Linked DNA regions of Drosophila melanogaster. The protein of the gene in region 2 purifies or fractionates together with the protein of the main gene of each other region. This does not show direct contact. Each region holds a gene or a part of one and is shown on either strand. Other genes may lie near its edges. The genes, in order: Bx42, fand, CG14641 and Prp19.

Region 1 (4,869 bases), on a different chromosome or scaffold from region 2:
TGGGCGTATGGAATAGGGTGCCTTCGATGATATGATTGTTGTTTACCATCCACGACGCGGGCACGCTCAACTTACATAATATCAGATCGGTTGGGATCGCTGTGGATCGTTTGTTGTGGTTCGGCGGAGTGGAGGAGGTGGTGCTAGAATCCCAGAGCTCCTCGGAACACCTCGCGGCCGCTAGAAGCCGTTGAATCCGTGGAATTCGCCGCGAGGACAGCGCATTCTCTCCGGGATGCGGCGGATGGCGGTGTGGACCGTTGCCGTTCGAGTTTCGACGTTGGGCTGCTCACTTATTTGCGAATAAATCGAATAAAATTGCAATTAAACTAATGCAACTAAAGTCAACTCAATGTCACACAGTGTGACCAGCGTGCGTGCGGACGATAAAGCTGCTCTAAAAATACCGGCGAAATACTGTTTTTCATTTATATTTTGCGTAGTGAACAAATTTGCAAGTTTAAGAAAACATAATTTGGAATAATATATGTAGGCAGGGTGACAGTCAATTACTGTTACATTTAATCAAGTACCTTAGGATTGGTTATTTCTTAAATACATTATTTGCATTCCTATTAATTTAACGGAATTCAACGGAGTGGTATAACACTACAAAAAAGGTCCGCTAGAAAGCTTATTGGCAAAAGAGGGTCACTTTATTCTTTGATTATAGGCGCCAAAAAGATGGTCATCATATTTTAAAAGTTTCTATCATACTATTGCTTATTTTGTATTATATTCTAGATCCGGAAGCCAGTATCCTTGCTCCCTCGGCTTATACCTTCTCCCGCATGGATGCGCACGTGAAGAGCAATCAAACCATCGCCGTATGTGGTCACACCACTGATCTTTCACTGACCAATCTGTGATTCTGGATCGGATGTGTGCTGATTGAGGTTCCTCCAAGCGCACTTATGCCAAATAACCCGTAATTACACATTCATGTTTATGTCAAGATCCTGTGATTATTATTGAAATTCTCGCCAAGTTGTTGGAGTAGTTAAAAAAAACGTTTGTTTGGTTGGTGAATGGTGAATAGTGTTTGCAATGATGATGATGACGATACAACGATGATTGGTAATCCTCACGCTAAAGCTTTTGTCTAATCGCGCTTGCTGCGCTTGCGATCCGAATGGCTGCTGCGCTCGTTGTTCTTCTCCTCGGCACGCTTGGGCGCCTTTTTGGCCATGTTCAAGAACTGATCGAGACCGAAGGGATCCTCCTCCTTCTCGAACTCAACGGGTCCACTCCTCTGGCCAGCGGCCGCCTCCTTGGAGGCACCGGAGAACTGCTTGTCTGGCACGAAACGCTTGGTATTTACAATGGCATCCAGATCACCGCCGTAGTTATCGCTATCCGCCTGCTTGCTGGGTCGGTAGATGTGAGCGCCCAGTGTATTGGAATCGCGCCACGGCTTGTCGTACACATTGTACGCTTCGTCATCACCGTAACCGGAGTCCATGCCCTTGGTGGTGTTGAATAGACGCTGATCGAAGAGCGTTTCACCGTTGCCGGCACTCTTGGCGGGCAGACCCAAAGCGATTTGCTCAGAAATGTCACGCTCCCTCTCCTTCTGCAGTTTCGATCGCTTTTCGGGAGCCGCCCGCTGCAGGTTTCTATCCCGCTGGCGCTCCCTTTGCCGCTCTGCCCGCAAGTCGTTGCGTTCACGCACCTCGGATCCTGTAGCTCCGGAACCAGATGGCTCGGCTGCCTCCGGATTGCGTAGTCCCGCTCGCTCTTCGCGAGCCCGCTGCGCCATCATACGCAGCATATCCTCCTTCTTCTCCTTCTCCTTTTGGGCCAGCTTCTTTTCCAGCTGGGAGCGTGCCTCCACCGCCTCGCGCGCCTTGCGATCGGCTATGTACAGCGCCTCGGCCATCTTGGCGAACTTCTCGTTGATGTGCACCTGCTGCAGACCGCGTCCATCGGCTGCCAGACGCTTGTCCAGTGGAATGGTGTAACCTGATATCGAGGCAAAGATTTAATTAGGATAATGAAGAGGATTCTAGTTTTACATTAGCTCGCACCTTTGGCGTTCTTCCAGTTCGATATGCAGGGCGGGATCTTCCACTCCTTTTGCTCCTTGACCGTCACCTTGCGCGATGGTGAGTGGAGGACAGGTGCCGGCGGCGATGGTGGACCTCGTGGAATCTTTTTGTTAATGCGGAACTTGGGCGGCTCCATCGGATCGAGCTGCGCCTCCACCATCCGGATGACACGCTGCTTGGCGCCCGAATTGAAGGTATCGCCCTGCTGCGAGGGCGTGTACCGAATGTACTGGGCGGGACCCGCCTTCTGGGCATGGCGCACGGGCAGCGCTGAGGTGATCTTCTGGTTGGTCAGCTTCTCCAGCGCCAGGCGCGTCTCCTCCGTCGTCTCCATCACCGTTTCCTCGTCCGGGCGCTGTAGTTCATCCGCATCTTCGGCCAACACCTCCGCCGGCAGCAGTTGCGAAATGGACGAGTACACAATCTTGTCCTTGCCATGTCCTTGGCGTGCTATGGCATCGTATTTAACCTTTCCCTTGTCGTCCAGGCGAACGGCCAGAGCATCCGACTTCTTGCCAACATTTCCTGGTGCTCCCAGACCTGTCGAGAAGATGAAGAAGACGCAGAAATTGTTTCAATTGAATAAGCCACGCTTCAAAATGCTGATCATAAAATACAAAAATACAACATTCTACAGCAAACGTTTAACTTAATGTGGTGGAAATTGAAGCCTTCTCGCTGTACAATCACCCACATATAAGAAGCTAATGGTTATTTCCCTTACGAGGACACCATTACCAACGAAAAACCGCGACAACATTGTTTGCAAGCACAGAGAAAGTGGGATTAGCACGAACGGGAACCCACCTAGTGGATATTGCGCCACATGGATCTCCGGGAAGGCGCCGCCATCGCCAAAGTCCGCATCCGTATGTGGTACCCAATCCTTACGCTGTCCGTACGGCGGAGCAGCGATTTTGGCGGAGACCAGGGCTCCGATCTTTGGTGCTCCGCGGGCGACCAGGCGACGCTCGTCCTCCCGATCCCAGATCGCGTTCGTCGGCGTGGGCAGCAGGCTTGATAGCGACATAGCTTATCTGTTATTTGTGGCGAATCAATTCTTATGTGAAATCACTTTTCAATATGCAAGCCACAAAAACTATAATGGAAAAGTCGAAAAAAAAAACACGCACGCACACGGACACACACAAGCGTACGGGTGTGTAGGGTTGCCAGACTGCTAATAAGAAAATGCTATAGAGTATGGTCCCTTTTAGGGATGGATTGCATATATTGCGTTTTTCTTAAGACGTAAGAAAACCAAATTGGTAGAAATAACAAAGCGATAGCTTTTTCCAAATTTGAACGCGAATCGGTAGTGGATTGGTAATGGTCATCAAACATCATCAAAATTTGCAAAAAATGGTCAAAAAATTGAATTTGCATTTTTGAACACAGTTTGATTTGAAATTTTATTACGAGCTTAACGAGGTATGACATTCCATATTTGGACCATTATTTCGAATGTTCTTATCAAAATACTACAATATGGTTTATAAAAATCAGGGGCAATCAGAGAAAATTTGAATAATTTATTTTTATTACCTTAACAGAACTGTGCAATACTTAAAAATATAATTTATAGACATCCCCCTAATAATTAGATAGATATAAGTGACACTTGCCCGATCGATACTATCGCATCGCCCTAGCCGCTGGCAGTGCCATCGCTAGCAGTTCAGTCAACAATTTAAGTTTTTGTTTTTGTTGGCCAAAAACACAATACAATGTACACATTGATGCACGGCTTCTACAAATACATGACTCAGAAGGACGACTACTGCGTGGTAATCCTGGGCCTGGACAATGCTGGCAAAACGGTAGGCAGCTGAATCATCCAATGAAAGCCTCATGTCCAATCGGAAACTAACACCTGTGCCCACGTAGACTTACCTGGAGGCCGCCAAGACCACGTTTACGCGTAACTATAAGGGCCTCAATCCGAGCAAGATCACGACGACGGTGGGCCTCAACATCGGCACCATCGACGTGCAGGGCGTACGCCTCAACTTCTGGGATCTTGGTGGCCAGCAGGAGCTGCAATCTCTCTGGGATAAGTACTACCAGGAGTCGCATGGCGTCATCTACGTGATTGATTCCAACGACAGGGAGCGCATGGAAGAGTCCAAAGCGATATTTGGTAAGCGAAAACAGTCTTCGAACTAATCCCTTGAACAAAACTCGTTTTGATCTATTCTGATGATCTCTGGTAAAAGGAAAAAGGTTCACCTAAAATGTGTTATTCTCTTTCCCCACAGACAAGATGATCAAGAACGAACTGCTGTCCGGAGTGCCTTTGCTAATCCTGGCCAACAAACAGGATCTGCCGGATGTGATGGGCGTGCGGGAGATCAAGCCAGTTTTCCAGCAGGCGGGTGCTTTAATCGGGCGGCGAGATTGCCTCACCATTCCCGTATCCGCGCTGCACGGCGAGGGCGTGGACGAGGGCATTAAGTGGCTGGTGGAGGCCATCAAACGACATGCGGTGGTGCGGCCGCCGCGGGAAAACGATTAGAAGATCAAGCAGAAGACATCTGGGCCTGGTAGTCGGCCCTCCACTGGCTTTAATTAGACATGTACTTTTGTAAGTTAGGGGCTTAGGATAACGCTTATTTGTAATTAGCCAGACGAGATTGCGAGATACCAATTGTAAAGATGCGTTGTCATTATTTGCAAAGACCTTTCTTTTCGGTTAACTACTGCTGAGAAAATGAGGAAAACAATGTTAGAAAGCTGTGAGACTTCTGCATAGGACAACGAATTACAAATACTATTGTTAGAATAACAAAGAACGCAATGCTTATTAGCCAATTAAGTGCAA
Region 2 (5,031 bases):
GGACGTCATCTTGACCTCCTTACCGTCGCCCTCCTTGGAGTAGACGCCCACCACCACGCCCTTGATAACAGTCTTGTTGTCACACTTGTCTGCTAATCCCCTCCAGATTTGAGAATCCGCTGGCTGAAGTCTGTGGTTAAAAAGTGGTGTTCCAAACAGATTGTACGATTTCCAGGGTGCCGTGACCTGTTGATATAATCTTGGATTGCGCGTAAAAGCACTGATCATGCGTGTGGATGCCATCTTCGAGATACACGGTGTGTGGTTAGTCCTGGTTAGTCCGCCCTTGCGCACGTCTGGTTAGCTTTTTTAGATCACGAAGTGCCTAACAATTTTGGAATGACAGTTGAAAGTGTGTTCCTCTGTTTGGCCTAAGGCTATACTAACTAGATCATCCAAAACGGAGACAATATCTAACAGGCCCCCTTCGTTTGACAACAATTAATATCAAAGTACCATTTAAGAATCTAATTGAGGCCAGAACATAAAAACCGATCAATTACAATTGTAAAACTTTCGACATACATGTATTTACCCCGAAAAAAGTCATATATATGTATAAACATTTACTCTCCATCAGAGTCGCCTTGATTTGAGGGCTTGAGGCTGCCGAAGACCTTGGCTGGAATGGCCTTTTGTTCGAAGCGCAGTTTCTTCATGACCAGGCCTTCCTCGTCGGTTTTCGTGACCGCTGCACTGGCCTGATTCTCGTTCGTCATCTCGTTCTCCTCATCGTCGTCCTCCTCCTCATCGTCCTCGTCGCTGTCTCCAATGTCGATCTCATCAGGATTGACGACCGTATCCTTTTTATCCTTAGCACCACCCTGAGTCTCACCGCGCACAAACATAATATTCGAGGCCGCCTTCTCGATGGGCTTCTGTTTGGACTCGGCTGCCGCCTGGCGAGCTTTCTCCTCCAGCAATCGCATGGCATCCGGTCCAGCTCCTGCTCCAGCATCCGCAGCCGCTCCGTTGTTTGTGCTCAGGAATTGGGCGGCCATCATGTTCACCTGCGTATTGTAAGTGGCCTGCACAGAGCGCTTGATGCGCAGCATTTCGCGCATTGTGTCTTCGTTGCCGTGACGCACTTCGAACTCCTTCCAAGTTTGCCAAAAGTCTGCAGTGATGCGGGGATCACAAACCTGAAGAATGCAAACAATAATTAGATTAAGTGATGCATTAGAAATCTATATATATTATCATACCTGTGAGCAATGAGCATAGATGGCTCTAGCTCGATCCACTTCGCCCAACTTCGTTTCCAACTCAGCAAACTTAACGCACATGTGGCGCATATTCTGCTCGGGCAGCGATTCGATGGCCTTCTCATAGATCTCGCGGGTACGTGGCAGGCCATAGATCTCGGCTGCCTTCTTTATAAATATGTTGTACATGTCGAACATCTCATCTTCTTTGACAGCAGACGTGGCACGATCATAGACCGACATGGCATGCCGGGCGAGACCGTGCTCCTCTTCCAACTTAGCATACAGTAAATAAAAGTACTTAGCATGCTCGGGAGGACACTGATCCAGGCACTGTTCGAAGAGATCTCTGGCTCGCTCCAGTTTTGTGCCGCCATAGCGCTCCAAAAATTTGGTTAGATAAGAGTTCCAAATGTCGTAGACATTGGGCCACTTGAACAGAGAGATGCCCTTCTCATAGGCTCGGTAGGCTTCCTCAAAGTAGTTGTGCTCCTCGAGGAACATTCCGTAATTGATAATGATCTGTGGCGTACAGATTTTCAGATCAATAATCCGCTCGTAGACGGCTTTGCACGTCTTGAATGTGCCGAATGACTCCTCCAAATCCGCGTACATGGACCACACTTTTAGCGAGCGATGAAGGCGCGCCTGCACCGTTTCCGTATCATCATAATAGGCAATCTTTCGCTTTGGCATGGCCGTCGCCCTTTGCATCAGCTTGAGTGCCGCCTCGAACTGCTGTTGCCGTAACTCCATCTCTGCCCATTCGCACCACACCGCCGCCAGATCCTCTACTTTAACATACTCAACCTCAGTGCCGCGTTCGAAGACCACACGAGCATCCTCCACCTGTCCGTTGGCCTCGTAGAACTTGGCGAACTCCACCCAGAGAGTGTGTAGTTTGCCGACCGCCTGCTTCGGCTGCACTGTTTGCACGGCCTCGGTGTACGTACTGATGATCTCGGCGGGCTTGTCCTCGTACAGTGTCACCCGCTTGTGCCACTCGTGCACGTTGTGCGGATTCTGGCGCAGAAGCACACTATTCAACAGCAGCAAACGGCGCTCCATGAGGTATTCGAAGCGTGAGAGCCGCAGTTCAACGTCAATGTCGTCCTCCTCGGTGGCCGCCTCATTGGCAGCTACCTGCTCCATACGTCTGTTCAGCGAGAGTTCCTCGAACTGTGCGTATTCATCAAAGACTTGGGTGAAGTCTCTTACGGTGGTCACAGTTTGAATGGCTTCCTCGTATATATCTCTTGCCCGATCAAATAAGCCGGAACGCACATAGTAATCCGCCAGAGAGTTCCACAGGTGGCCCAGCTGATCGGTGTAGCGACGCAGCCCACCGCGAATGATGGCGTCCACGTTCAAGGAGTGCACCTTGTGTGGATTCTTCGAGATGAGGTCGCACAATTCGTTCCACAGCTGATGATTGGACTTGCCGTGTTTGGAAACGAAGTGCTCGTTGTCGACGATGTGCGCCAGCTGCTGGGCAGCTTCGTCCAGCCGATCTGCTTCCTGTAGGTAGTCCACATATTCCTCTGTGTCCTCGGGAAAGAGTTTCAGATATCGACGGTAGACTCGCAGTGCTGTTTCCGGCATTTCAAAGCGGCGTACAAACTGCAAATACAGTGGCCAAATCCTGCCGTGCTGCGTGATGGGCAGAGCCCTTAGAGCCCGATCGAAAACGTGCCGGGTGCGGGTAATCTTGCATTGCGAGGTCATGAAGGCACCGTAGTCCATCCAGATACGTGGCATTTTGTGCATAAACACCAGTGCACGTTCGAAGGCACTGTTGACCTCCTCGTACATGGGATCCGTGGGTATCTTGCCGCGCACCTGCTTCCTGCGAGTTCTCAGGTAATTGTGCCAGATCTTATAGCTGCCAGGAAGCTCTTTCAGAGCACGCTCATAGACCATGTTAACACCATTATTCGGCGCCTTCGCTTTGTGATCAATGTAGCGCAGCCAATGTTTTACGGAGTAGGCGTTTCGAAGGATTTCCTCCTCATACGGCACATCCTCCACTTCCTGTGTGTGAAAAACTTGATAGGTTAGTTGTGATTTACATATATTTCATGGTACTTACGAAATTGATCTCTAAATTCAGAGATTTTATCGTTTTTGTCACCATTTTTCGCGATTTTCATGAAATGCCGCAAACAATAATTTTCTCATGCGCGTCCCACGAAAACAGCTGATCGAAATGGCGTTGCCAGAAGGTTTGAAAAGTAGTGGTATTAAGATACCGCAGCTAATACCAAAGTAATTAAATCCTAATTAACATGTAAACAATATTTTAAGAATACAGAAAAATTGTTCATAAAACTAAGATAACTTTGGCTTGTGTACATTTTTTTTACAAATTGTGAACATCTAGAATTTTCTAAGTGCACCTTATTTAAACGTTGAAGTTATGGACAAACCAAAACAATCGTGAATTTTCTAGAGTACCATTGCGGTATATTTTGCCTCCCTTTGAATTGGTATTTCGCCCTTCGTCCGCTGCCCAACACTGGCCTCAGTTTGTGAATTTTTCGTAAGCCCATCTGCAGATGTTTTCGTCGCTGCTGCCAATATTTTGACGTTCATACCGTTTGCGTATTTCGCAGAGACCAGTTAACGCGCTCGTAAAATCGCAAAAAACACACTTAACGCGATCGTTTGTTCTGTTTTTGTAAACACATTGCAATTGGCCTGCATTTTGCATAATTTACGCAACGAAGGCAACTGCGTGAGTGCACCAACACACACACACACACACACAGCCGTGCAAAAGAGAGCCAAAGAGAGTGAGGAGCGCAGGCGAGTTGGCAGCCAAAGGCAAAAAATCAAAGTCTATCGAAAAAAACACTATAAAAATAGATCAAAATGACGCGCTTGAAACATTTCTCAGCATAGAACGACTATCAATCGAATTAAGTTTTAAGTAATACCCAACGACCGTGGAAAAACCAAGCACAGTGGTAAGTAAAAGACGAGGGGAAAACACGAAAAAACACGTCACACGTGTGCGTGTGCTTGCAAGTGTGTGTGTGCGAGCGTGTGAGTGGGTGGGTGTCATAAATATTTTCGCACACACTTGTTCCTGCATTGATTTTATATTTTTCGCACAGGCTCAAACTTGTGTGTGCCGCCGCACTCCAATTGGTCCAGGTAAATCCAATTAGACTGGATCCTAGGTAAAAAAAAACCACCACCGGAAAATCTATTTCCCCGCTTCCCGAACAGCTGTTTATGATGGTTCTCAAAAATTTTCCACTCGCTCTTGTTGCCCGAGGGAAAATTTTGGGCATTTTAGGGCCTCCCGTATTGAATGTAAACAGAAAACACACACGAAAGTGCGGAAAAGCGCTTAGATTTTCCTTGCCGGCTGTGGCCCAATATCTCTCTCTTTGCCACCCCCTCTCTTCGCACTGTTGCCACCCACTAAACTGACACACTAAGCCGCCCGCCAGCAACAACAGCAACAACAAAGGCGGCTAAAACCACTGCAGCTTTGAGCCGCATGCAGCTTTTTTAACTGCCAGCGGAAAAGCTTTATCAATTCAGTTGGCTAAAATCCCAGCAAAGATTCGGGTTTATTTCAAGGAAAACTTTTAATTCTTAAAATTAAAAATGCCCGTTGTTTTCAAATGAGATTTTTTAAAATGATTATTATGTCTAAAAATTGTAAATAATCTAAAAGAGTTGAAAAAACCATAGCATATTCACTTAAAAATAGCTTAAAAACATTGCTAATTATAAAATATCATATTGAGATGACTTCTGCTAACAATATTATATCATATTCAATATTTTGCCCACTGAGAATGAGAATGTGCTG
Region 3 (4,000 bases), on a different chromosome or scaffold from region 2:
AAGAAAATACATTTTTATTAATAAATGACTGAAATTTCACTTTTTCATTAAAATTGATAGAGGATTAAGTGAATAAAAAGAGGTGTAGAGAGATGAATTGAGCTATCATTTATAGCGCTTATGCGTGATTTTGATTTTGCGCTATGCGATGATTTCCTAGAACATAGGTTCAGGTCATGGTTTTTTTTTTTAATACAAATTAACCTGTGATTAATTTGATCGAGATTTTTAATGATCAGTAATGAGCTGATGAAATCTGAATGAATGGAATGCAGGGAGGTAGTCATAATCCCAATGTTAAGTTCCCCTATAAATACTGAAGAATGAACTTACATATGTACATGTGCATTGGTGTACTTTTTTTAATCCCAAATATCGTCCAAATCAAAGAAAAGCATTTATTAAAGGTAAAAACGAGTGACGAACGCACATCAACATACATATGTACAAAAGTTTTGATATAAGCTTTTGTGACGAAAATTTGTTCTTTTTTTCTTTTTTTTTTTAGAGTTTAAATCATTTATTATTATCTTCTCCTCTCTAATTGTTTGGTGTTTTTTCTTAACAATTCGAATCGAAAACAATTTCGTCCATACGGATAAATTCTATTAATATTAAGTCATTTTTATGGAACTGACCACTTTAAAAAGTTTGTATTTAATTTTATAAAAATGATTTATTGAATTGGAACCATTGTAGACCACAGGGTTTTCCTACTTTTTAACAGCTCCCATCCGACTGGCGTCCTGACTTGGATACGGTACTTGACCCGGTGGCGGAGGAATCGATATGGAATCCAAATTGACACCCGAGGAAGAAAGGGCTGTGGAAGTGGCGTTTCCGTAGGGAGCTGCATAAGTAGGCTGACCATACATTTGGTAAGCCGACGCCGGAACTAGATTTGATGGCAACTGATGCAGCTTCATGCCGGCGGGCATGACATTGATTTGCTCTTGGCGAAGATTGAAGTAGTCGTTGGGCTTCGCGCTAGGCGGTGGAATGCCGGCCAAGTCGAAGCGTCTGTCTGTCTTTGCAGCGGTGCCCTGCTTTGCCTGAGAGTGAGCCCACTTAATGCTCACCTTCCGGCCCTGGATCACCAGTTTATTAAAGGTCCGCTCAGCAGCCAGCTCGGCAGCGTTTCTTTTGGTGTATTGCACAAAAGCGCACTGCTGGCGTGGCACCAGCGCAATTGATCGAATTTCGCCGAACTGGTAGAACTGATCTCGCAGCTCGGGTTCCGTGATTTCTTCAGGAAGGTTCCCCACATAGAGAGTTGTGATGTTGCGGTCCTCCGGCGGCTCGAGTGTGGGAAGCGAGGCTGCACGCTTCATGATCTTCTCGGCCACAGGATCGTTGCGTCCGTAGTACCTGTCCTTGATGTTTTGCTCACATAGCGGATCGTCCGGCTCGTTGGGCTTGTCGTGGCGGTATGGGCACTCCTCTCCACGCTTGCACTCGCCCTTAACCCAAAAGGAGCAGATGTGCGGCCGATTTCTTTTGTAATAGGGTGCTGTGCGCGCAAGCTTGGACAACATCTCGTTGGCGGCGAGGGATCGACCGACAGCTCCTGCCGCCTCCGTGCCATCTCCGTCCTGCAGCTGGGCGTCTATGTTTTGGATGTAGTATTCCTTGTTAACGTCGCTTTGTGGCATATTGTCAGCCACTTTGAGCGCCGCATCTCGTACTTGAATCGGCAGTCCGTACTCCAGGTCCAAGAGGCAGGTCTGACACACGTTCTTCAGGCGCGCACACGTTTGACATATCTCCGTCTTTTTGAAGCGCATACGAGCACCAGGACACCATCGAAATATTGTGAATGGACGCGTGCATATCTTGCATTCCTTGCCGAACCGCTCTTTAATCATCCGCACGTACGGATTGTCGCCAAGGCAAGTTTGGCACAGAATTGGGAATTCAGCATCTTCCCAGTTCTGCCGGTTATAGGTGTTAGTCGTTTTTGACATAGACATAGCAGCGGCACTTATGTACCTTGCACTTAAAATCCGAGCTAAATTTAGACAATGCTCATTCGCTTTCTACTTGTCGAAAATGGTGGTGTGTCGCGAGTGATATACCAATATCGATAAGTTGAGCCAGAAGCAGACAGTTAGTTCAAAGTCAGCAATCGATATAATTTATTGAATTTAATAGCATATTCACACTGCTTAGAATATATATCTATACCCAAATGCACACAAAAATATATTGCATTCGACTGATCCGAAACCGATCAATACGATATTCTACTATTCTGTACTATTCATGTTCGCTAACCGTTTAACAGAAATGTTCCTGAAACACTTTTGATAGCACGCATAAGTTCATATAAAATGTTTCTGGGCGATTTACACAGAGTTTTTGGCACTTTTAATTCCGATGTTCGCAGTTACGTATTCACTGCGCTCTGACCACTTATGTTATTCAATTAATTATCATTATTTACGAACAGCACTTTTGGCCCTGCTTTAAATATATTTACTAAGTATTTTTACCTGCCTGTTATATTTCACCAACAGTATGGCAACCTTCGCGCTAAAAGTTGCATTTTTCACGTTGCTTGGTTTTCACAAAAAAAGAAAGACTCAATCTCAAACTCAGAAAACCAGAGCACCTAAAAACGAAATCGAAAGATTTTGCCCAAATTGAAAAAAAAACTATTATCCGGTCTGCATGCCATGAATATATCATAAGCAAGAAGCTGTCAGTGGAATCACTGTTTAATAACTGTAATCGATACCCATTAGAATATAGTATTTTTCGGGCTCGCCTAATTTAAAACGTCGTACGGTGGCCTTTGTTGTAGTCAAATTAGGCGAAAACGAAACAAACAAAAATCAGAAATATAGATCGAATGCTATGGCGCACGTAAAGCGGTATCGGAGGTCGTCTAAGTCCTCGGAGGAAGGCGACCTGGACAACGAGGACTACGTGCCATACGTACCGGTGAAGGAGCGGAAGAAGCAGCACATGATAAAGCTGGGCAGGATCGTGCAACTGGTTTCGGAAACGGCCCAGCCCAAGTCGTCAAGCGAGAATGAGAATGAAGACGACTCGCAGGGTGCGCACGATGTCGAGACCTGGGGACGCAAGTACAACATTAGTCTGCTGGACCAGCACACAGAACTGAAGAAAATTGCCGAGGCCAAAAAGTTGAGTGCCGTCGAAAAGCAGCTGCGAGAGGAGGAAAAGATTATGGAGAGCATTGCTCAGCAGAAGGCCCTTATGGGTGTGGCAGAGTTGGCGAAGGGGATTCAGTACGAGCAGCCTATTAAAACAGCTTGGAAACCGCCGCGTTACATTCGGGAAATGTCGGAGGAAGAGCGCGAGGCCGTTCGCCACGAGTTGAGGATCCTAGTGGAGGGAGAAACCCCCAGCCCGCCAATTCGCAGCTTCCGGGAAATGAAGTTCCCTAAAGGTATACTTAACGGCTTAGCGGCCAAAGGCATTAAGAACCCGACCCCAATCCAAGTGCAAGGCCTGCCCACTGTACTAGCCGGCCGCGACCTAATTGGAATAGCCTTCACTGGGTCTGGAAAAACGCTTGTCTTCGTGCTGCCAGTCATCATGTTTGCCCTGGAACAGGAGTATAGTCTGCCTTTTGAGCGTAACGAGGGCCCCTACGGCCTGATCATTTGCCCGTCCCGCGAACTGGCCAAGCAAACACACGAGATAATTCAACACTACAGCAAGCACCTCCAGGCATGCGGAATGCCTGAGATTCGTTCCTGCCTGGCCATGGGTGGTTTGCCGGTCAGCGAGGCCCTTGACGTCATCTCACGCGGCGTACATATTGTGGTGGCGACCCCTGGTCGTCTAATGGATATGCTGGACAAGAAGATCCTTACGCTGGACATGTGCCGGTACTTGTGCATGGACGAGGCTGACCGCATGATTGACATGGGATTTGAAGAGGACGTTCGTACGATATTCTCTTTCTTCAAAGGCCAGCGACAGACACTTTTATTCTCTGCCACCATGCCAAAAAAGATCCAGAACTTTG
Region 4 (6,167 bases), 4.9 Mb from region 2:
GCCAGCAACATATGGGCGGCCTACGAGAAGCATGGACGCAACGCCTTTCGCGAAGGTCGCCTCACTTTCGTGCTCATCGATTGTGAAAACGGTCATGTGGCCATCACACAGGTGGGTGATCCTCTTTTTTTTAGCAGGGATTCGTTCTATAAAATCTTAACTATATTCCTTTTTACAGGTTGCCAGTGTCCTTTTGTGCCTGTACGCCAAGCAAACGGTGGGATTGGGTCTTCTGAAGCAAAAGGCCATGTCACTGGCCTCCTATTTGGAGCGACCGCTTAAGCAGATCTCGGCCTCATAAGGATAAAACAATGATGTACCAAGTTCCGAAATGAATAAGTTAATAAGTGTATGCATCAAAAGTGAATCAAATGAATATGAATAGTCTGCGGAAAAGTTTAAACGATAATATATTAGTACTTGAAATTATGAATCTTTAAGGATTTTGTTAGTATTTAAGGAAAAACTTGTCTGCTGGTTTCCAAAAGTAACCCAAAGATATTTCGTATTCTGAATTATTTGGATAGAGGGTCAGGTTTATTATTCTGCAAGATTTGTTCAAGAAAACACACAATCATTAGGGAATATTGTATAAGAAAATTTTGGACTTAATTACTAAGTGTGGACTTATTCGATGGCGTAGAGCTTCAGGGTGCGGTCCATGCTGGTGGATGCCAGATACTGGGCGTGCTTGCCGAATCTCACGCCCGTTGCCAGGGCCGTGTGGTCGTTGAATACCTTCAGTTCCTGCCACTGCTTGCACAGGTAAACCCTGTAAATAAAACGAAGCAACCGTCAGAATTTGTATTTGTACCGTGGCAACCAAATAAACAAGTTAACTAAGGGAATCTTCTTTGGCGAATTTAACTTAACAATGCGAAAGTTTAAAAGAAAAGTTTACCGCGAATATGAAAGTAAGTATTATATTCTAATATGCGAAGACTTAAAAATGCATGCTGCTCTTCAAGATTTCGTGCGACCCAAGACCCATGTGGAACCGGAGCCTCCAAAGCCCATAAACTTATCGATTGAGGACTTCAATGCGGTGCGAAATAATTAATTTTTATATTTCCAAAGTTAAGTTTTATTAATATTCCTCAGCGCGGAGAGATCGCCAATCCCCGTGCTCCTTGTGTGGTCACCACCATCGATCCCGATTATATTAAGGACGCCAGTGCGCAACGTTTGGCCAGAAAATTTCGCATGAAAACGTAAGGAATCAAATGAATTATGTGCTGGTGCAATTTCACAGCTTTTTCAGGGACATCCTACTCTTGAGGGAGATTACCCGCAATCGCTTTATGTACTATGCTACGCAAGAACTTTTTTTGGACCGAAAACGCGAGAAGGAATACCAAGACAATGTATACGAAAAGGCCGAGGAGTTTCACAAGTTTGCAGAGGAGTCGCTCAAGAAAATGGAAGCGGAGGAGTTTAAGAAAATGTTAGAGGCCCAAGAAAAGCTGAAGACACTGAAGGAAAGCAAACTGAGCGAAGAGCTGAACGAGGTGAAGCTGGAGCATCAGCGAGTGCTGATGGAAGTGCAGGAGGTCTACGGTCGCTTTCAGTATTTACTCAAACTGATCAGCTACTTTGATGACACAGTTGAGGAGGAGCAAACCGAGGGAGACGATGCCAGCAATAGGCTTAGCATGCCGCAGGAAATCGTAGCCATGGAGATCACCGAACGACATCCAGCGGGTCTCGAGCAAGTGCGTCAAGTCCAAGACTACATGGAGAAGATAGTGCGTCCGTATTTGGCAAAGCGGAATCATCTCAATGCAGAGATTTGGATACGTGGCTATGAGAGAAATCGCTTAAAGGTGTCCAACTACAACAGGCGCTTTTCTCAGTTGGCAATCTTGAACCACATCGTAGCCATCCTCCATGACAAGGCCCAGAAGACGTACGAGCGTCAGGTGAAAGCCAATGTGTTCCTCAAGGATCCCGAGTTCCTGCAGCGACGGGTGGCAGGTCTTCAGGAGCGTGCCAAGGGTCTATTAAATGACTTCGAGCAGAGATACTGCAAGGAGTGAGTTGGGATGCGTACATATTTGAATCAACTATTTTATATTCTTAATTTCCAGCAAGCTGAATATCAAGCTAAATGCTATTGTACCAATTATTCTCAAGCAAATCCAAAACAAAGTTAAGCCGGAGCAAAAGCGAGAGGTTACGCAGCCGCCATCCAAGCCAGCAGCCCAGAAGTCGTCCAAGCAATGGCGAACACTGGAAGACATGCAGCCTCCACCACCGCCACCCAAGTCTACATACGCGGACGAACAGGACACGACTCTTGCCAAGGTGGAGAAAATCCAGGGCTACGTTTTGGAGCTCTTGGCTAAACTGGACCACATCGAACCGAGCAAGCTGCGAAGTGTCGAGCAGCAGGTTCGACGTCGCATGGCAGCGGAGAAGGAAATGTCTCGCCGTGCGTTAGTCAAGCAGAACCGGCTACACAACTGGATGGCGCATTTCAAGAAGCATCATGATCAGCAGGTTGAGCAACGATGGAAAAATAAAGTCTAAGCTAGACAACAACACCATACTTAAAACATTAAATGAATACAATTTAAAACTTATTTTAACCTCATTCTGAATGATTTCAATAAGAAAAGTACAATTCACTTACCTGACATCGCTGCCGGCGATAGCCAGATAGGTTCCGCTTTGGTCGAAGCACAGATCCTTGACCTCGTAGCCGTCATCAAGCTGGATTGTCTTAAAGTTCTTCAGCTTTCGCAGATCCCACAGCTTAACGCAGGCATCATCTGCAGCGGTGGCCAGGTAGTAACCGTTCTCCGAGAAGGAGATGGCCGAAATGGGACCGGTATGACCAGGGAAGTTGGCCACATTGCTCTGCTCCTTCAAATCCCAGATCTTAACCTGCGAGTCCACGGTGCCCGTACCGAAGATCAGACCATCAGGATGGAATTGCGCTGTCGTCAGCCCGACTTCGGCGGTATCGATTACCTTGGTGAGCAGGCGTCCTGTGCGGATATCGGAGAATGCCCAGTGTTTGTCGGATGATGTGGACAGCAAGTAGTCGCCAGTGGGGTGCAGCGAAAGGCCAGTAACAGGTCCTTCGTGGCAGCGCAGGAGAAGCTGCGTCTGCGAAGTGGGCACGTGCCAGATGCGTATGTTCATGTCGGGCGAGCCGGTTATGACTGTATCCTCGTTAGGATGATATATGACTTTGGTGATCTTCTTGGTGTGTCCCTTCAGGATGGCCACCATCTGCTCTGTGTCCTTGTTGAACACGGTGGCGTTTTTATCGTTGCCTCCGGTCAGAATCTTACTGTGATCAGCACTGTTGATGTCCAAGGCCAGAATGCCGGGAACGGAGGCCGAGTGTAGGCCGGGATGGGATGCCACAGTAAGGAAGTTCTTAACCTGATCCGTTGTAACCAGATCCTCGGGCACAGTGCGTCCGCGCTTCTTACGCTCCTGCGTCAGCACCGTGGCCTTGTCCTGCAGTTTCTGTATGACCTCGGCGCTCATGCCCGCCTGCTCCATGGGATGGGCAGCAGCTCCGCCAGCCTCAGAGGCCAGGGCCGGTTGTGGTATTGCCGTGGGTGCGTTGGCAATGCCCGCCTGCGGTTTCAACGTGGCCAGAGCTTCGCGAGCGGCGGCCACCTCCTTATTGAGGCGGGCAATCACACGACAGGCGGCATCGTGCTGATACAGCGCATGGGACAACTCCTGGCGCGTCGTTTGCAGCTGCTGGCGTTGTGTGAACGAGTGAATCATGAGGGCGTCCCACTCGTCCTGCATCGTTTTCAAAGTGGCCGGAATGCTGGTGGCACTTGGCGGTTTCGGTTTCACCACAGCCGGCGTCTTGATCTCGATCAGCTCCTCCGGCTTCAGCTCCTTGCCGCTAATGGGATCGCAGCCATTCTCTAACAGATACTTCTCAATCACCCGCTTTTCGAAAACGGCTCCCGAGTGCGGGGAAACCACGGGCGTCTCGGGGACTTCGTTTGTCACTTGGAATGGAAAGTGCGATTCATAATGGCCCAATTCAAATCAAAATCTAAATTATTCACTTACGTGCGCAAACCAAAGCCATTGCTGTTTGTGATTATGTCGCTTTTCGCGTAGTCTTGTTGGTAAATTAAATGTTTTACACGTTTTTCCCGAGCCAAGCGCAAAATTGTCGGCAAAGCCGCTTCTTCTTATTATGCCAGTTACTCGGCGACGCGGGAGTTTCGAGCACAGGGCTGCCAGATCAAATGGATTTTGGCTAGAAATTTGCACAGAAAAAACTAGCTAGAATTTAAACAATTTATTTTATTGATAACACAACACATTCAATAAGTATTTAATCCATAACAATAGTTTTTATAGATAAATGACATTTACTGATAGAGAAGTGAGTAACATATCTTAAATCAATCAGCTATCTCACCGTTTTGCCAATCACAGTTCCGCACGCACAATCCATAATTGCTGGCAACCCTAGCACGTTGTTTCTGTTATTCAATTCACGATCTAGTTTTATAACATAGTTTACTGCCATTAAGGTATATTTTTAAAATGCTGAAGCATTTTGCACGATGGCGTCTGGGCAGCCAGTTGCTAAAGGGATGTGCCGCACCAGTGAGGCAAGCCTCCAAAACCTCCAGCGCAGAGAACCTGATAGCCGGCACAGAGGAACCCCAAAAAAAGTTCGTCAATCCGTTTTCCCAGCCCGCTCCTGCGTTAAGTAATGATACGATATCAGAGAACAAGGAGGAACGGGATAAGCGACTCAAGGTGCTGCAGCTGGAGGCGGACATTGCCCACCAGGAGGGTCGGCGGGTGCCGTCACTGGAATTCTTTAAGGATCATCATTGGGAGCACGTGCTGACGCTACCCACAAAATCAGCTAGGATCAAGTACTTTGGCTATCTCTGGCAAATCGAGATGAAGAAGGAGGCGGATCAACGCAAGAAGGCAGAGCGAGCGAAGGAAGCCGAGCGGCGGGTTGCGGAGATGCGAAAGGAGCGCGAGGAGAATACGCACATTATCTATGGCCTGGGACACACATCGTTGTTTCTGCGTATCTATGATACCACTATTAATCACTGGCAGAACAACCGACTCACACGGGCCATGCAGTTTGCCCCCAAAATGGTTTTGGATTGCTCCTACGATGAGCACATGAACAATCGGGAGGCTACCTATGCAGCAAAGCAATTGATGATGTGCTTTGCGGAGAACCGGATGAATGATGAGCCCTTCGATCTGCACTATTGCAACACCCAGATGGACAGCAGATGCATGCAGAGCCTCCAACGCTACATCCCCACCATGCACAATCCAGAGTTCCCGATAAATTTGCATAGCAAGTGCTTTACGGAACTCTTTCCCAAGCAGAACCTGGTCTACCTAACGCCCCACTGCCGGGAGGATCTGGTCACTTACAACCCAGATGACATCTACATCGTGGGCGCCATGGTAGACACTATGAACAACGAACCCCTTTCGCTGGCCAAAGCCAAACGATTGGGCCTTCGGATGGCGAGACTGCCCCTGGATCGCTACCTACAGTGGGGTTCCGGTTCGGGAAAGTCGCTAACTCTAAACCAGATGATCAACATTATGCTGGACCTCAAGAAAACCGGCGACTGGGATACGGCCTTGAAGCATGTGCCCCGTCGGAAGGTCGTGCAAAACGAATTCCAGCCGCGCAGGGAGAAAGATCATTGGAGCACAGGCACGCGGGCCAGGAAGCTTAATATGCGAATCGATCATCTGTTTGATTTTGACGAGAATCGCCGGCAGGCTACCTCCTATGCAACTCCGCAGAATGTAAGGCAGCGACGGGAGGGCTTGGAGTTCCAACTGGACACTTGGGCAACGGGGAAGCAAAAGAAAAAGCAGAGACAAAATTAAAGTTACTCGTTGTATTCATTAAGATGCATATTTCATTTTATTCGGATTCGGATTTCTTATTCATGGGAAGTTAGTTTTTGGTTGTAGGGGACCTTCTGCCTCCACTTCCTTCTTAATGGCTGCCACAGTCTGATTCGATGAGGGAATCTCTTCAATTACTAGACCAGTATACTCTTCAGCAGGTTCACCATAATCTGTGTCTGTGTCATATTTGAAAGTACTTTCTGGCATGGCTTCTGTCACGGCTTCATCTTCTTGTTCATCTTTATCGGTCTTTTTGTATTTTAGCC

The links.
Region 1: the proteins of fand (region 2) and Bx42 purify together in Drosophila melanogaster (affinity purification with mass spectrometry; 2 studies listed by BioGRID). This does not show direct contact.
Region 3: the proteins of fand (region 2) and CG14641 purify together in Drosophila melanogaster (affinity purification with mass spectrometry, with the first as the bait; 2 studies listed by BioGRID). This does not show direct contact.
Region 4: the proteins of fand (region 2) and Prp19 purify together in Drosophila melanogaster (affinity purification with western blotting; 2 studies listed by BioGRID, with this or other methods). This does not show direct contact.

Annotation. Positions count from the first base shown.
Region 1 is NC_004354.4:9,103,370-9,108,238, forward strand, and holds Bx42 (Bx42), read right to left. Parts: upstream 3,236-4,869; 5' UTR 3,079-3,235; coding exon 2,856-3,078; intron 2,589-2,855; coding exon 2,028-2,588; intron 1,963-2,027; coding exon 1,103-1,962; 3' UTR 501-1,102; downstream 1-500. Other genes in the region: Arfrp1 (ADP-ribosylation factor related protein 1), read left to right, coding at 3,776-3,868, 3,936-4,188, 4,307-4,563. UniProt on the Drosophila melanogaster protein: May play a role in chromatin structure and function.
Region 2 is NT_033778.4:13,592,034-13,597,064, reverse strand, and holds fand (fandango), read right to left. Parts: upstream 3,422-5,031; 5' UTR 3,340-3,421; coding exon 3,295-3,339; intron 3,237-3,294; coding exon 1,206-3,236; intron 1,143-1,205; coding exon 567-1,142; 3' UTR 508-566; downstream 1-507. Other genes in the region: S-Lap5 (Sperm-Leucylaminopeptidase 5), read right to left, coding at 1-243. UniProt on the Drosophila melanogaster protein: Subunit of the NTC(Nineteen)/Prp19 complex, which is part of the spliceosome. The complex participates in spliceosome assembly, its remodeling and is required for efficient spliceosome activation. Essential for efficient pre-mRNA splicing.
Region 3 is NT_033777.3:4,230,273-4,234,272, forward strand, and holds CG14641 (uncharacterized protein), read right to left. Parts: upstream 2,071-4,000; 5' UTR 1,971-2,070; coding exon 714-1,970; 3' UTR 507-713; downstream 1-506. Other genes in the region: abs (abstrakt), read left to right, coding at 2,857-4,000.
Region 4 is NT_033778.4:18,446,840-18,453,006, forward strand, and holds Prp19 (Pre-RNA processing factor 19), read right to left. Parts: upstream 4,203-6,167; 5' UTR 4,070-4,202; coding exon 4,051-4,069; intron 3,987-4,050; coding exon 2,633-3,986; intron 2,582-2,632; exon of another isoform or gene 2,530-2,581; coding exon of another isoform or gene 2,088-2,529; intron 2,033-2,087; coding exon of another isoform or gene 1,262-2,032; intron 1,212-1,261; coding exon of another isoform or gene 1,102-1,211; intron 1,046-1,101; coding exon of another isoform or gene 969-1,045; intron 915-968; coding exon of another isoform or gene 875-914; exon of another isoform or gene 773-874; coding exon 628-772; 3' UTR 522-627; downstream 1-521. Other genes in the region: Lamtor2 (late endosomal/lysosomal adaptor, MAPK and MTOR activator 2), read left to right, coding at 1-111, 179-301; CG30120 (uncharacterized protein), read left to right, coding at 875-914, 969-1,045, 1,102-1,211, 1,262-2,032, 2,088-2,529; rswl (roswell), read left to right, coding at 4,537-5,877; Dnaaf3 (dynein axonemal assembly factor 3), read right to left, coding at 5,938-6,167.